2 linked regions of the Neodiprion lecontei genome follow. The main gene of each other region encodes a partner of the protein of the gene in region 2 in a complex. Links are inferred from orthologs where the notes say so. Each region holds a gene or a part of one and is shown on either strand. Other genes may lie near its edges.

Region 1 (7,945 bases), on a different chromosome or scaffold from region 2:
TCTTTTCGTAGGCTAAATACTATTTCTACAAATGGAAAAAGAAATCACGATGGAAATATTATTGTAACTGAGGAAAAGAACAAAAAAAGGAAAGAAAAAGAGAATCGAAATGAAAATGAGAATGAGAATGAGGACGTGGATAAAATGAGTGAAATCAGCGAAAAGTCCCCGATAACGAAAAGTACAAGGAAACTGAAGTCTGTCGGAGATTTGTGCAGCAGTCATTTTCCGATTTCTCTTAGAAAAAGCCTTCTCAGGGATAAAAGAAACAGCATCAGCCTAGTGTGAAGAGTACTATGATTTATTCATATATAACTACTATATTCATATACATCCATTGCGTTAAGAAATTATACATATTTTTTTAGTCGCATGGTTTCACAGTCATTTTTGTAATTAACGTATCACGGATGATCTGGTGTTTCATTTTCCGGCAACTAAAAAAAAACAAATTAAATCCATTCACAGTGCTATCGTTGTCGGCGTTAATACCTATGAAAAAATGATTACGTAAGGAAATTTCAATCGATTGAGACGATAAAACAAATGCGGTTATCCGAATGGAGTCCAAATGTGTGATATTTAATAACCACGGATAATAACTAGCGCTGAATTGAATATATTTTTCAAAATTCATCCCTTTTAAATATATATTGCGTATTCGGATGTAACAACTACGCGAATCGCTCGGTTTGATAAATTGCGATTAGTAATTAATTCGAAGCCATAAATTGGTAAACCAGGACTAAGTGTGATCGATGCTTGAGAGAAATTGCAAAAAAATTTAAATTTTTCATTTTCTGACAAGTATCTATTTTATAATACAACGATTTTTTTTTTGATTTTTCTCTCATATTTTTTAACGTTATGGCCATCCATTATTTTTATCCGGATTTCAGAGTTTTAATATTAGGTTCAAATATTTTGACTTTTTGAGTTTTTATCCATTCATTTTTATACTTTTTATCTTATGCGACATCTGGTCATAGCAAATTTGTAATTTTCAATCACATCCTGGCCAGCTTCAAGAAACTGCTAACAGAATTCACGGTGTACTATCAATTTTGTGTTCTCTATGCCGCGTAACTTTTTTTGAACTCATATATTGCATAGACAATACAAATAATCGAAAGACAATGCAAATTAATTCATTTTGTGATAAATAATGCGCATTCATTTTTGATATAATTGGATCAGTCATACTTTTTTATGATCCAACTAATGTAAATATATATATTCCTGCATTTATACATAGAGAACTTCGGACAAACGCGGTGTTTTATGATATTAGGTTACGACTCGTGAAGCGTAGGTTTTATTTTCTTATACTTTCTCTTTAGTTAATAATTATTTTTAAATTCGACGAGAGATCTTTTAGGCGACGATAAGACGCACGTTTTACTCAACACCAGCAAAGTTTGCAGGGTGTTTTAATGCTGATGATCCGAATTCGCTGAATTACTTCGGAATCTTCTCCAAGAATAAAAAACAAAGAAAGCTACTTTTCATTTAGTGAAAATTAAATTTGAACCTTTCATTCGTTTGTGTGAAAAATCTGTCAATTTATTTAAATATTTACTTTAAGAATCACATCAATCAGAAAGGGAGATCACGTGGCTTATTCTATAATTCTGCATTTTCAAAACTGCAATTATAGAATAAAGCTGTAAATGTTTCTTGTTCTTTTCTATCCATTGGAACTTTCAGAGATAATCTGCAGCTGTGGCATATCCTTGGTATTTAGACACTCTGTCTCTTTTCCAATATTGTTTCAGATCAGTAATTTATCAACTTTGTTGTAAATAGATATTGCTATTGCTAATTTGGGAACAACTATTATAATAATGATTTATATATTTAAAGAAAAAGTGACACAAAAAAGCAAGTACAAATATCGTACCTACTGTATCGTTGTAGTGGCATTGATTAAAAAATAGAACAAATGAATATTTTTAGTATTTTTTTTATTAAAAATTTTTTCTGTTTGCTCAATTCCAGCACGTCTGAATTTTTGAAATCACCATTTTGAAACTTAAAAATCACAAAATATTTGGTCAAGTTGTAATTCCTATCTTATTGTTAATAATCCGTCCGCTGTCAAGATTCTCAAGGTTGCGATGTTGAAAATTTTGTTCTAAATATACAGAATATTAAATATCGCTAAGATTTACTCGGCTTCATCGAATTTCCATCGGGATAGCGTTTCTTAAAAGCTTTAATCAGTTGCGGGTCAATTAATCGCACACCGTCGACCTGATTTCCCAGAGTAATCCAGTTCGGTTGAACGTTGTGCGGTCTTCCGAATAACTCGATCTTTCTGGTTCCCGGGCTCATTCTTTCTATAATCCCATAAATTTCGTCGGGTTTATGACTCGTCGCCCTCACTTCGGCCACGATGACATCACTGTCCAGACCTCTGTTTACCCTGGGAAATCCCTTCATACCAACCAGACAGTGCTCTTTCCCATGATTGAGCCAGTGACCGGTTCTCCCAGTTCTTATAATGCGCTGAAGTTGATTAGTCTTCACCCAAATAATCTCGTCCACTCTGTCGTAGCCCCATAACTGGAGGCATTCTCTGCCTAATTCCATGGCTCGTCCGGTCACCCAAAGAAATAGGAGACCCTCATCTTGCAGGGTAGGGATTCCGAGTTGCCGCATTTCGTCATCCGACATTGTCCCGTAGGGAAGCTCCATATGGATATCCCAAGGAGGGTCCGCCATTATGACTGCGAACTTTCCCAGCACTGTCATATCCAGATATCTCAGGTCGCACTGGATCCACTGAGGAGGATACAGTGTCAGGTCCGATGCTCCCGTTGAGCCATTATTATTGCTCACTGGTTTTGGATCTAGAGCAGTTGTTCTGGAAGTATTTCCACAAGTCGTTGTGTCTGCTTCGCCCTGATCTTTAGGTTGCGCAGTGGGACCGTCAACTTCATAGTGAACGTACCTTGAAAACAGATGATTTAAAAAGTTTTGGTTTCTGTATTCTGGAATATTGTTAGAATTATTTCGAAATTTCGAAAGCCCATTATTTTGTACTTAAAGAATATTTTCAAAGGTACGTGATGACCAATATTTAAGTGTTTTGTGAGCAACTTTGAAGATAGTAATTTAGTTTAGAAGTACTTTGTGATACGCAATGAAATCCAGTGAACTAATCTCTACTGATTTTACCCAACTTCAATTCGGTTTCTAAATCATTAAATTTATCGACTCGATCATTAGTTTTCCGAGTTTGGTAAACCTGAAACATGCACAAGAGAAAACAAAAAAAAAATGAAAACAAATAGAGCTGAACTTATCTAAACTTATCAACGAATTTCACAGGAATCTATCACCATTGATGAATCTATAAAACGGGGAAAAGAAATAAAGTCAATTATTACTTGCAAGTGTCCATGTGGAAGCAAGTATTCAAAAAGCTACAGTCTCCCAAGCTTTCATCAGTATGACTTTGAAGGATTTTCTTGAAATGCAATTTCTTGCACTTCTCATTGAACGCTTGCCCAGACCCTGGCTGACTGTTGCCATTGAGCTTGGAGCAATCTGTACGAGTACCATGTGGACAAAATTCCATAACTTGGGCACCACCCTGAGACCTAAAACGTTCGGCCAATGACTTCTCCTTCGATGTTTGTTTTGACAAAAGGTCCAGTATCTGTTCCCCGACTTTTTTACTCTCCTTTTCTCTTATTGTAGGCATAGATATCAGTGACATGATGTCCTCAGTATTCTTCTTATCGAGCTTTGTCTGTTTTTCGGGTGGACTTTCCTCCTCGATTGCGGCAGGCAGTGAAACCCCCAGTTTTTCCTCTTCAACGATGTTTTCAGTATGTAACAACTCTGCCTGGGAATTCGATTCCGCAATAGACAGAATTGTATATCCGACGACATCGTTCTCTGTAATTTCCTTGATCCTGCGGATGAAATGTCTTAAAATATTGCGAGATTACGTGCTTTGTTTATTCGCATAAAAAACTTTTCTCATTAAGTAAATACCTGATAATGTCTTGTGCAGATAATTTTTCCAAGAGCTTGTTGATATCTGAAAATGATATGTCAATGCTGAGAGCTTTTCTGAGTTGATCTGTGAGATCAGTCGATGTGATTGGTAAGCTGGAGATACACTGATGCAAAATTCGCAAGACATCTTGTTCGTATTCAACCGGTTCAGATTTGTTATTAGTCGTGTCTGAAATTGAAATTAGAGGCTTGAAACAGAAATACGAGACTGAAAGTAATGGAAACAACAAATTAAACAGCTACCAATCACAGATGATTCTGTAGCTGGTGGGGTCGAAGTGAGAGTGAATAATTCGTGTCTCTCTCGTTTACGTTTTTGCAATTTTTCTCTTAGACTGTTCCTCTTTATCTTTATCGCCTGAATTTCCTCAAATGCATCAGACATCTTTCATCTCTTTTTCTTTCCTTATCACATACGAAGGTTATGATTTCGAACAACAACAACTAAGCCTCGATTTCCTAGGAAAAATAAAGTAAAAAAAAAAAATATTACCGAAACTTTTACTGGCTCATAAATATACGAAAATGTAGGAACGAGAAAATCGGATGCGGTATTTTTAGGTTAGGTATAGGTTATGTTTATTTGCGAAGTTGTAATTGGCTATCTATTACGCATTGTAGGAAACTAGGAATCAACTTTCGCAGTGTATCAAAAGTTTGGTATCGCCGTAAATGTATTTTGTAATATTTCTCGAATAAATCTTATTATCAACTGAATTGCTTGTGAATTTTTTCCCGGGAGTATAAATATTCAAGCGGGTGAACTCGGCGTTGCCAGCTTCACTTGGGATGCAAAATGTCTGATCGATATCCGTGGATAGAAAACTTTTGAAAGTAAAAAATTTATTCGTGGTTAAAGAAAATTCGACAATTTTATGGGATTACTTGGATTTTCAAATGTGCGACGGATTCGGCAAAATCTGATCAGGATTTGTAAAATTAAAATAAAATAGATCGATTTGCGTGTAAGTGAAAAACGGTTTAATTCGAAAATTATAAAATTCCGAATCAGAAGAAATAGTTTGTTTCAAAGTAAAATTAATTACTTATAGTTTTTCTCGGGTTTGTGATTTCCACTATTTGATTCAATCCGAAATTCCTAATAATCATGTAATCAGTTTCAATTCTACAATTAAAAGACAGGTGATTTGCGCTCTGAGCTTGAAGAAGCTTAATTATTTACGTATATTTATTAATGCATGTAAACGAATGTATGCATAAAATTAATTGTAAAAAAGTAAACTGCATTTTGTTCGGTTCAGTTTTTTGCAGAATTAAATTGTTCTTGGACGTGCGTTTTGTTCAGTTCAATTTTTTGCAGAATTAAATTGTTCTTGTATGTAGAGCAGAATGCGCAGTTCGTATTCCTGCCTCTTGAAGTACGACTCGGCTTCCTGCGAAAAAAAGAAATAAAAGTTCGCAAATCAATTTATTTGATCCTTAGTTATTCTCAAAGACCGTGCGTTCCTGACTCTAATAATGATAATTAATTACCTCGCGTGGCTTGAAGTATTCTTCTTTGACTTCCGGTAGTTCCATAAAATATCTCTTGTTTCTCAAAACGGTCTCATCGGTCGGTATGAAAAGCAAAAAGCTTTCAACCGCGGCACACGCTTCTTTAAATTTACCAACTAAAACGGTTTTTAAACAAGCAATTTAAACTATGAGCAATCCACAATGGAAACACAAGTCTATAAGGGAAACTATTTCCTAGATCTTACTTTTGAAATATGCGTACTGCAAATAATGATAGTGAGATATGAGCAAGTCGTGGCGCTGTTCCCCGTTGAGTTTATTTAATGCGTAGGAACAGCTGCGCTTGCATTTTAGTCCGAAAGCAAAGTGATCTAGAAAATAAAATTGGGTTTACATAACGTTTAAATTCTATAAGACAAGAATTTCCAAAGTTTCAAATGTAATTCGCGAATTGCCAATCCGTATTAGGAATGAAAATTCGGATTAACTCACTCGCAATGGACATGGTAAAGTCTGGAAGCCATCCCTGGTCGAATGGACCTTCGCAATACAATCTGCAATCCTCTTCAGCTTTCATGTAAGCCTTAAGAGAATTTTCAAGCTGCTCAATAACCTCCGGATAATTTTCTTCGTAATACGCTATAACTCCATCTTTGTACATTGCTTGGAATGGGTCACTTTCCAAATCTACTATATCCTCTTGAACGACTTCGGGAAGATCTATGTAGAACTGCATGTTCCTCAAGGTTTGATTGTCCGTCGGGTGAATGGTCAAAAACGTGAAAATGGCATTCGCCGCATCCTGGTACCGCTTCGTCTATAACGCGCGTAAAAAAACAAACATATTATCTGTGATGCGACACGAGATATAATGAAATGACATGGTGGGATTTCGTTTCGGCACCAAAGTTTTTTTTCCAACAATTCTCATATTTGAAATCCGTTTTTACTTCATCAGCAGTAAATTGTACATACCTTGTAATAGCAAATGTGCAGAAACTCGTAGGCCTTACGTTCAATGTACTTCCTCTCCACATGAACGGGCAACTGTCTATCATTGTCTTTATTCCTCACGATCTTCTTGCATTTCATCAAACACAACGTTTCCCTGACTTTTCTTTCGAAGAAGTGCATATCTTCTATGTCGTACGGAAATATTGGTTCAACATCGTTAACTTCCGCTCGGCACTGTCTTCGGCAATCAGCAACCGTCTTTTTGTGCATTTTGTAGCTGCGGCGCACCATGTATTGCATTAATAAACATCGATAATTACCTACTAACTTATAATTAACTAAAAGCCCATTGCAGATCCGTACACGAATATTTACAAATACTTATTATGGAAAATGCTACCGCTAACGCGAACTTTTTAGTAGAGCTCATCGAGACCTTTTAAATTCTTGAACCCAACTTTCGTCTATCTGTCAAAGTTTAGTCAGCGTTCGCATAAGTGTGCGATCCTGTTCCAACTTAGCTTACAAACATCGTTGTATCTTAAAACCCGACCAGACGTTGTAGCTATCCACAGAAATAAAAATGATCAAAAACGGTTCGGTAGTTCTCGAATTATAAGGGAACATACTTGCAGCCAGACAAAGAGACGTTGGGTTTTATGTTATATTGTGTAGACAAGATAAAACTGTGTTGAACCTGTTAAGGGCTTTGTGGAAGTCGTCGATGCACCCTTGCCAGTCATCGTTCAGATACGACTCGACACCCGTTTCGAAAAGATTATCAAGCTTATTTGGATCCTCCTCGGTTTTACTCCCATTTACCGGTCTGTCAGTGTCCTGCTTACCGGCAACATGCGCCGATTCTGTAGCGATCTTTTCGGAGGGAAGATCCTGGAGAATCTCATCCTGAACCACGGAAACGGTTTCCTGACCGTCTACGTCATTGCTCAGCTCGTCTGATGCTGCAGACGTGGCGATTGCAACGGTGAAGAAAATCGTGATCAGGGCGAAAACAACGTATTGATCAAAAGCCCGCATAACGAGAATATGTAGCTCGTCAAGATCGACTAAAAACTGAGAATGATCTCGGCACTATTTGATCTTTGAACCCTGATTGCGATAAAGAACCCACACTGAAAACGAGATTGAAGTTAGTGACGTTATGGTATCGAAACATTGGGGGCAATCACTACACTAAGATTTTGAATTATGAGTGTGTTTTGTTTTGTTACAGTTTACTAAATTTCAAACAATTCCAAACTTGCTTAATAACGGTTTTTCCTCAGCATGAATCGTTACGATAACGTTACTAACTTCAATATGATCACTGAAAGCCGTCGACGCTATGCGATCATCTCTGACGCTTCGTGGTCACCGCACATATACAAATGCTGCCGTTTCTTCAGTCGTGTGTGGGCGAAATGTAGTTTCAGCCCACAAGCAGCATATACGCCATGACTTTACAATATATCGCGTCAGAGGACGA
Region 2 (9,548 bases):
CCGGTTGTCCTCTGTTTCCTTGTGACAAGGGATGCAGCCTTCCAATTTGCTCCTCTGCCTGTGAACTCTCAGTTGAACACGATGCTGAATGCTCTCTCCTTCAAGCATGGAAACCCACTTGCGGTTCTTCTTGGTCTATTAACTTACTTAGAGCACTAGTTCCAATCAGAGCACTTCTATTAGACGAGCAACAGCGAGATCTACTTTACACTCTGCAGTGGCACTCCGGGCCTCAGCATGGTTCAGAGGTCAGGTCACCACTTGAGTGAAAAAAAGACACTGTATGTCAAATTAAAAATATGAAAGTCATTGTATGAATTTATATTTTCACAGATAGATCTTTTAAAGAGCAGTATAAAAATTCAAATGAATCAAATAGAGGAACAGTTCATGAGACGAGTGTGTGCAGTAATGGATACTAATTCGTTTGAAACAGCTGCAATAGTTGGGGAGTCTGTCACAAGCTTGCGAGGCTTATACCCAATGGGTGCTTTGCAGAATCATTGTTGTACACCCAATACTCGTCATTATTACGATTCTCAACAGAGATTATATGTAACAGCTGCTATTCCCATTAAGAAAAACGAGGAGATAACTATGACTTACACAGATTTGTTTTGGGATACAACGTTAAGAAGACGACATTTAGCTGCCACTAAACATTTCTTCTGCACATGCAGTAGATGCACTGATCCGCTAGTACTTAAATTTTGACTATGTGCCTCTAAATAATTTTAAATACTTATATAAAATTACAATATCTTCTATAACTTCTTAGGAAAATGGATCTTTGCTTGGAGCATTGCGTTGTGCTCGTAAGGAGTGTTCAGGAATTTTAGTCGCTGTTGAACCTTTAGATACTTCAACAGTGTGGGAGTGCAGAGAATGCGGATTACGCCTGAAAAACAGACAAGTATGTTACATACGTAAAACAGACAAGTATGTACTTATAAACTTCGTTTGATTTTTTCTTTTAGATTATTTCAATTCGATCAGCTTTGGGAAGTATAGTTGAAGAGATGATATACAAAAGTCCTAAGCAGATGTTGCGATTCATGAAAAGTGAACTGTCGGTCTTGGTACCTGCAACAAATTACGTTGCAGTTGATATGAAACTCAGAATAATATCTTGTCTTGGAAGAACCGAGAAGTTTTTGTGGGAAGGTAAATACAATTACTGTGCAAACTTGAAGGTTGTTGTGTATCTCTGTCGAATTGATTTACAGATTTGACAAAGGATGAGCTCAGCATCAAGGAAAAATACTGCAGGGATTTATTACGCTTGATTGAGACTTTAAAATGTGGCGAATGTAAGATGAAAGGTAGTTTAAGAAACATATATTTGCAATGTCGTCTCTCCATATCTTTTTTTGTGGCCACATTAATATTCAATAACTGCTCATTTTAGGCTTGATCTCTTATGAGTTGTATAGTACATTGATGGAGCTGAACAAACGCCAATTTAATGAAGAAACTAATATTGAGAAGTCTGAGTCACAGGTACAAAATTCTTAGACTTCTGTGAACAAATAATTATCATGAATATTGACTCTTTTACGTGACGTAGTTTCAGGTGAATGAAGAAAGTAAGAACCTGCTTGAGACTGCGATATTGATATTACAAAATGACTTAACTGCTCCCAAAGATTTGTTGTCTCTTGTTTCTGGTATGACAAAAAAATAAATATAAATTAATTATGAAGTTGTGAATATTAAATTCACATTCACATGCTTCGCCCGCATTTAAATTTAATGACCTATTCTAGAACCGAAGCTAATCTGACCCGCGGTTGAAAAAAATCAATCTTTGCATAGCTATGAACCATCGTCTCGACAATACAAATGTCTTGTGTGAATATGATCTCAATCGGTCGAGTCGTTCATAAGTTACACGATACAAAAAGGCGCACAAAAGAATTATATATATTAAGACCACGAATACGTACAATTTTCCCTAATATATTCTAAGTACTAAGTAACTATGCTTAGCAATGATACAAAGATAAAAATATTAACAATTGCAATGCATATGAGAAATGTCTATGTAACTTTTTGTAATAATATCTTTGCTTCTTCACATAAGCTCGTGCAAGGTTGCAGAGTTTCTTCATCATCGTCCTCATTTGCCTCAGCATAATTTCTGTAATTTGAAATAACCAAAATTAATTTTCATTACAATTGCGTGGCAAATATCAATTAATGACACATCATATTATTTCATCTTAATTATGGACAAGTCTATTATGTAAATGTAATCGAAAATTTCACCAATCTGGGTAATCTTTTCCAACGGTTCTCTAAATATGCATCTTTATTTTCTTTTGTACTCAATTTACCTGCATAGTAAATTTTCGCTGATTAATGAAGTTCTTGATGTCCGAGTCATAAATTGCTGCCTCATGATTGCAGTGTGTAGAAGGGCGACGTCATTCAGAAGAAATTTATCAGCATCTGAAAGTAGCGTGGAATTAAGAAGTAATTGAAGCTATTATAGTAAACACTAGTAATATGTAAAATATAGATTTACCATCTATGCAGTACTTCTTTGTTATGGATTCTACCATTTCCGCCCCTGCATATTTCATAGAGATACCAATGCGCTGGAATATAGCTTTACATTGCCAGCGACTTTGAGCAGTATTTTGATTCATGGTAAGAACTCGACGAGGCTGAGATTCTTTGACTAAACTTTCCCAATCTACACCCAAAGCATCTCCCAAGCCCTTGCCGCTTGTCTTAATATCCTCCTCAAGTTCTCCATCGGATATTTCTTCAAAGTCCATATTCTCAATATTTTCTTCTTCGATATTTCGGAATTCCATTTGTTCGTTTGTATCTTTTTCCTTGGTAAATATAGTCTCTTCTACAATTTCTTTTGGTGATAACTGTGAGGCTTCTGGAGTTTGTACAAGTACGTCTCGTTCATTAATCTCTGTACCTTTTTTAGGTAAGGGCAATTTTGGTGTCTCACTTTCTTCTTCTTCCATATTCAAAATATCATCAGGATCATCGCTGATATCACTCAAATCACTCTCCGTATGCAAAGTTTGGAGAGATTCATCCAAGCATGGACGTTTAGGTTCTGCAGCCAAAGGGGATTCTTTAACTTCCGATTTTTCGCGTTGTGGAATTCTTTTCTGAAAATTTTCAACAGATTTCTCTCTGCTCCTCCTGACCCTACCCTCCGCTAATTCCATCAATTTTTTATTTATCGGTTCTTCCTTCATGCTGCCATGTAAAGATCCTTGTTTTGACCCATGAGCAGAGCATTCATCTCTCAATTCCGGAGTGCTATAGGGTGGACGTCGTTTGCTTGAAACACAAACTTTTGATATAAAATATGGTACTATTATGCTTCTAAATTTTTCGAAATATTAATTATTATTATCAATACCTATGTAGTTCTCCTAAGTCTATTTCTTTGATTCTGTCATTTCTGTAGTGTCCTCGGTTGTGAGGTGGATTGTGGGGTGGATTGTGGGGCAAACTTTCCCATTTTCGGCCTTCATTCAACTTCCAATCAGGCATAGGGCTGTCATAGCGTGGAGCCCATTCTTCTTCATGAACCTCTGAATGTGGAGGACTTTCTCTATCCCACATCGGAGGTCGAGCCGCTCTCCATTCACGTTCCTCCCAGTCAGAAGTTTGGTAATTCCGGTCTCGACTACCATGCTCCATCTCATGATGGACATCCCAATTGTCATTACTACTTTCGTCTCTGTTATAAAAAAAAAAAAATGACGATTAAAAAAATTATTGGAAGATTTGTAAAGTTCAAATGAAGTTCTGTACACTACCAGACAGTTCTGATACAATCAATTTTTATGTAAACTAATATCAGTCTACACCATTAAAATGTAGAATGGACTGCGCACTTTCTATCCAAGCAATAGAAGTAATGTGTCTGCTACTGTATGAGAAAGATAAAATGTGATTATGACTATCCAGAGGTGTGGTTAACTAAGCACATTTTTATATAAAGACTGCTGCTTTTTGATATTTGCTGCACAGGCTTCAGGTTTGCATGCACAGTTCATCTTATATGTATATGGTCTATACCTGTTTACACTAGACCTCATTTTTTCACCCGAAAATATGGGCAGATGTGGATCCTCAAAAGGCCTTTCACTCTGCATAGCATAGCGTGATGGACGTTCATCTCTACCTCGTCTTTCTTCGAAAGGGCTGTTGTACCTTCTTGGTTCCATTGGTTTACGTCTTTCATCTTCATGAGGGTGGTGATCTCGATAATCAACTCTTGGAGGTTCCTCAGGCTCTTCCCAATGCTCAGGTGGCAATCGAGCATAGCCCCTATCGTAGTTTCTCTCTATTTCTAGGCTGCGTCTGGACCCATCTCTTCGTTCCGGTAGTCTGTCTATTTTTGATGGAATATGAGGTGGCTCCTTGCGCTCATGATCGGCTGGATGCCCTCTGTCAAACCTAGGATTGAATCTTCTATGCCTGTCCCGATCATAAAGATTTTCTCGTTCCATAACATGGTCACGAGCTCCTGTAGCTATGTTTTTGTCAACTACTCGATCAAGAGATCTTTCTCTTGGAAAACGCTCTTGTCTATCTCTCTCCACACCTTTGTGAGGCAGCATTTCTTTATCCAATGATCTGTCATAGCGAGCATCAAATCGTTGTAAAGCTCTGTCTCGATCTAAGGGTTTTTCTGACCTTTCTCGGTCTCTCTCACTCCGTCTATCCCTCTGTCCACTTTTGTCAAGCCCTCCATCTTTGAATCTATCCTTATCTCGACCATACCGACCATTCTTATCCATAGGATTAATAGCAGTTGTTGCCATGAGTGGTGGTATATCTCTTTCTCGAACTTTAACTGCATCTTTTTCACGATCTCGTTCTCTTTGTCTATCTCGACACCTTTCCTGTACTTCTTCTCGTTCTTTTTCTCGCTGAGAATCACGCTGATCTCTGCCTAATCTTGAATGACTTCTATCATCCCTTAAGTTGTGCTCCTTATCTCTACGTTCCTTGCTACGCTGCCGATTGCGTTCACTGACATAATTTTTCTCCTCGATGTCTCGAACCGCATTCTTACGATGGGAGTCTTCTTGGCTAGACGAAGGCTTTGATTTGGATGGATCATTTTTACGAATATCGTCTTTGTCTTTATTTCGATCTCCTTTGTATGAGTCACGTTCTTTTTTATCTATCTCTCTGGATCTTCCAGAAGATGTTTTACTCTCTTGGTGACGAAGTGGAGTTACCTCTCGTTTAGACCTCAATGGTTTCTCTGGAGTTCGACTGCGCCTCGATTTAGTATTAGAAAAATCTTTAGGATACTGGTATTTAGATTTCTCAATAGGTGGGGTTCTAGAACGTCTTTCTTTATCTTTTACTCTCTGTTTTGATTTCTCATCAGTTTTTACACGATCTTCCACAATGCGACTTTTATTTTTATCAGACTCTTTTGATTTATCAGTAGCCTTATTCTTCACTATATCTTTCAATGAAGGCTCATCTTCTCTAATTTTTTTATGATGCTTATCTTTTTCCACTTCCCTACTCCTTGGTTTTGGGGATTCACTCCGGTTTCGCTCCTTTACTTTACTGGAGGAAGCATGTGCTGACATGGTTGGTGATTTAACCTTGGTAGAAGAATGCTTTCTGGATGAAGAAATAGCAACTTTCTTAGCTGCTTTTACAACTGGTTCTTTTTTGCTCAACACTTCAATCTTGCGTTTCTTTTTTACGATAAGTTTTTCATTCTTCGTTCCCAGTCTTTTAAGCTTAAGCCTGTTGAAAAAATTAAAAATAACAAACATTATATAGCTCAAGTTAAAATGCCAGATGTTGTACTTACTTCTTTTTTCGTTCCTTATCTTCATCATAATCTGAAGATGCACTGTGATGTCGTTTAGACTTGACCTTCTTGACTTTCTTGCGAGAATCCGAAGTGGAGCTAGATGAGGAATCATCACTACTAGAGCTACTGCTGCTGCTGGATGTGCTAGAGCTGTGTGAACTAGATGATGAACTCATAGCTTTTTTTTTGTGTTTTGTTGTCTTTTCCTTGCCATGAATTTCCTTGTCTTTCTTCATTTGTAATTCTAATTCTCTTTGTAAGAGCTGAAGTCTTCTTTCTAAAGCTTTTTCGTCTTCGTATTCCAGATCTGTCTGGTTCCACTCTTCCAAATTAAGATCAGGACTATGAGACGTCTTTTTTACAATTTTTGATGTGACTCGCTTGAATGGATCTTCGCTAGGCTATTGTAAAAGTCAACGGTAGGTAATTCGTCATAACGCAATTTATTAATTATATTTAAAAATACTTGGGATTAATTCCAAAACCACTTGAAGGATAGAAAAAAAACTTGTTAGTATAATCATCGAAACTGATGGAGGAATTTCAATTTGATAAATCTCTCAATTAGAAATACTTGCAAATATAGAAGACAACTTTGAATCAAAGGCACTTACCACAGTTGCACTAGTAAGAGCATTATCTTTCTTCACACGTTTTGATGGGCTGATCAGTGTGTGCGTGATTGCGTACCTAGTACAAATAAATGTTAATGTGCCAATTGTTTCATAGAAGACTTTGAAATTGATTTTTAACTGGAAGATCATGAATAAGTTTCATGACATTTGACAAAAATATTGACAATTGTAACGACGTGTTACTGATAAAGAGTGGTAGATCGAATTTCAGGACAATTATTTATGGTGCTGTATATGGTCACTAATTGTCATGTTGCAAATAATCAACATACTTGCAACTTTTGCCGTACGAACAACTGCCATTCAGAGCCCAATTTCTACAGTAATCGGAATTGTTTTGGCCGGTGGAAGTTGCTGGTGGTTTGGTACCCAACCTCTCAAATACGCTAGGTCGTCGAGAGTCTGTGTTACATTTCGAAGGGTCAACTGTTATTTTTCTTATGTTTGGTTTTGACATATTATCACCATAAAACGATTTTAAATTGATACTGGAAGCACATAACTGCGGTATGCAAAATCCCACTTTGCTATCTTCTATCACAAAAACAAACTCAATGGATACCTACGATCCGGTACAATCACCATACAAAATTAGTTAATCTAAAATCGCAGGGTCGAGCCCCATGAAGAGTGTTAAGCTCGTGGATTAATTATTTCATTTATAATGGCAGTGAGGCCATCTCTCGGTAGTTGGAAAAGGTTATGTCTGTGATGTCACATCCCCGAATGCAGAAGTTTCCTCAACGGGAGATTAAGAAAAAACCCGGTAGCCTGGCAAGAAAAGAGACTCCCGAACGCTTAAAGACGATTACCCCTACTGATTAGTGATTAGTGATAACCCCTCGACAAATTCTTGTAACCAACACCGGCGCGTAAATGGGCCTTGGGCCATAAGAAGCCGTGTTCAGGATAGTTATCCGGTAGCTTCTTTATCGGCACTAACCGTTTAACACGCAATCCGATAAGCACATAAGACCACATTAGGGTATACCGTCTTTAACAGTCTTCAGTCAACTTAAGCCAACGCCATGGAGTTTCAAGTGTTTATATCAGTGTGATCGTTACTGTATTAACACGCTCACAGAGAAGCCACGCCAAATTAAAGTTACGTGATCGACCGTCAGACTACAACGTCACACTAGAGTCATCATGAAGTTATAGTATTTCTACCATCTCTACTATTTTCTATTATTCGTGTTTGAAGGAGCGTAAATAACATCTACGAGTTGATTGGACATAGGAGCGGTCAGTAACAAGCAGTAATAAGAAGGATGACCAATAGTGAATCCTAACAGCCCCCAATGTCAGTCGTCAGTGTCGAGCTTGTAATAAATGGCAATCTTGAGTTATGCGATATATTAAAAGATTAAGAAAGATTAATACTTATTAAAAAGACTGTGGAAAGTTGAAAACACATTGAATAATTGATAGAGAACGTCGTTCTACGTCAGGTTTCTTAAACATATAATTTTCGACAGGTTTCGAATAACTTATTTATAACCGCAAAATACGTCAGTATCGTTCTACGTATAAATGAAATGCTAAAAGGGAAATCTGTGCTATAAGTGCTAAGAAACAACTGCGTACATTGATTCAACTACTTATTGAATGGTAAGCTTATTGAATAATTTAAATACAAAGTTACATAACTATATTTCTATGCGATAGGTTATCTTAATGTACAACTCAACACTGTTTAGATTTTTTCCGAATTTTTTTCAACTCTGAAACTTTGAAGCTAGCCCCATGCTTTTCAATCTAAATTTTCCTATTCATTCCTATTTTTATCAAGCTCTAACATTATATGAATCGATTCATTACAATCTCTGAATCTATACTGAAAAATTATGGAGTCTAGGGATACTTAGTCACAATTAGTTTAAGCAAATCAATGTTTCATTAAATCACAGGCTTGCTTTTTTGGTTCTTGAATTAATATTTTTTACTCATCTTCAAACTCCAACTTATACCTTGCTCACCAGTGCAATGAATTAAATGTATGAAATTTGAATTTTTCCACAAGGTTTTCATCTTCTAAGAAATCATGCCTCTGTTCGGAAAATCTCAAAAGAGTCCGGCGGAGGTTGTAAAGGCTCTAAAAGAGGCCGTTAATGCCCTGGAACGTGGTGATAAGAAAGTAGAGAAGGTATGCAGCATGTAGCCAGTTTCCTGCCAAAAAGAATTCCTATTATGTATTTAAACATGAATCATCTTTCCAGGCTCAAGAGGATGTCAGCAAAAATTTAGTGCATATTAAAAACATGCTTTATGGGACCGCCGAAGCAGAGCCTCAAGCTGATATTGTCGTAGCTCAGCTAGCTCAGGAGTTGTACAACAGCAATCTGCTATTGCTCTTGGTCCAGAATCTTAGTCGGATTGATTTTGAGGTGACTTCATCAACCTCTGCTTTCACAACGAGATAAAGTACAAAATAGTGCATATGAAAAGGTTGTTATAATTTTGTATGATTCCTTCAGGGGAAGAAAGATGTGGCTCAGGTATTCAACAATATCTTACGGAGGCAAATTGGCACACGATCGCCAACAGTTGAATATATTTGTACGAAGCCAGAAATATTATTCACTCTTATGTCTGGGTAAGTTGTGAGATATAAATCATACTCAGTTTTGTTTTTTAATTTCAAACAAAATTCAATCAACTTAACCAGAGAATTCCTATACTTTCAGCTACGAGCATCAAGATATTGCATTAAATTGTGGAACGATGCTGAGGGAATGCGCTCGATATGAGGCATTGGCCAAAATAATGATTTATTCTGATGATTTTTATAATTTCTTTCGATATGTCGAAGTTTCGACATTCGATATTGCATCAGATGCCTTTTCTACATTTAAGGTAGTTGTCGTTACACATATATATGTAATTTTTTAAACTAATGTGTTGGTACAGTATCTTGGCAACACATCGGAAAAACCATCAATAGTCAGAGAATTTTGTCACTCTGGGAAACTTTGAAAATTATGTTCATAAATTCTTTGTGAAATACCCAATCATTCACTGTCAATTGCTACAGAGTTTTGGTATGTAATAACTTTTCATGTACGTAAAAAACATGCCATATG

What was found.
Region 1: zinc finger CCCH domain-containing protein 13 (region 2) and N6-adenosine-methyltransferase subunit METTL3 share a complex: the UniProt entries of both Drosophila melanogaster proteins name them as parts of the WMM complex. The link is inferred for Neodiprion lecontei from reciprocal best matches to the Drosophila melanogaster genes Flacc and Mettl3.

The regions. Positions count from the first base shown.
Region 1 is NC_060264.1:30,609,320-30,617,264, forward strand, and holds N6-adenosine-methyltransferase subunit METTL3, read right to left. Parts: upstream 4,838-7,945; 5' UTR 4,642-4,837; exon of another isoform or gene 4,489-4,641; 5' UTR 4,415-4,488; coding exon 4,273-4,414; intron 4,199-4,272; coding exon 4,006-4,198; intron 3,924-4,005; coding exon 3,393-3,923; intron 2,954-3,392; coding exon 2,161-2,953; 3' UTR 1,219-2,160; downstream 1-1,218. Other genes in the region: neuroepithelial cell-transforming gene 1 protein, read left to right, coding at 1-288; prolyl 3-hydroxylase 1, read right to left, coding at 5,337-5,423, 5,524-5,660, 5,751-5,876, 5,998-6,322, 6,481-6,736, 7,157-7,497. UniProt on the Drosophila melanogaster protein: Catalytic component of the WMM complex, a complex that mediates N6-methyladenosine (m6A) methylation of mRNAs, a modification that plays a role in the efficiency of mRNA splicing and is required for sex determination.
Region 2 is NC_060261.1:34,041,209-34,050,756, reverse strand, and holds zinc finger CCCH domain-containing protein 13, read right to left. Parts: upstream 7,290-9,548; 5' UTR 6,923-7,289; coding exon 6,738-6,922; intron 6,521-6,737; coding exon 6,445-6,520; intron 6,232-6,444; coding exon 5,828-6,231; intron 5,761-5,827; coding exon 4,060-5,760; intron 3,719-4,059; coding exon 3,395-3,718; intron 3,313-3,394; coding exon 2,528-3,312; intron 2,452-2,527; coding exon 2,337-2,451; intron 2,141-2,336; coding exon 2,041-2,140; 3' UTR 1,685-2,040; coding exon of another isoform or gene 1,568-1,684; 3' UTR 1,501-1,567; coding exon of another isoform or gene 1,409-1,500; 3' UTR 1,323-1,408; coding exon of another isoform or gene 1,227-1,322; 3' UTR 1,195-1,226; downstream 1-1,194. Other genes in the region: SET domain-containing protein SmydA-8-like, read left to right, coding at 1-248, 334-699, 779-913, 978-1,164, 1,227-1,322, 1,409-1,500, 1,568-1,684; protein Mo25, read left to right, coding at 8,510-8,611, 8,685-8,852, 8,943-9,061, 9,153-9,321. UniProt on the Drosophila melanogaster protein: Associated component of the WMM complex, a complex that mediates N6-methyladenosine (m6A) methylation of mRNAs, a modification that plays a role in the efficiency of mRNA splicing and is required for sex determination.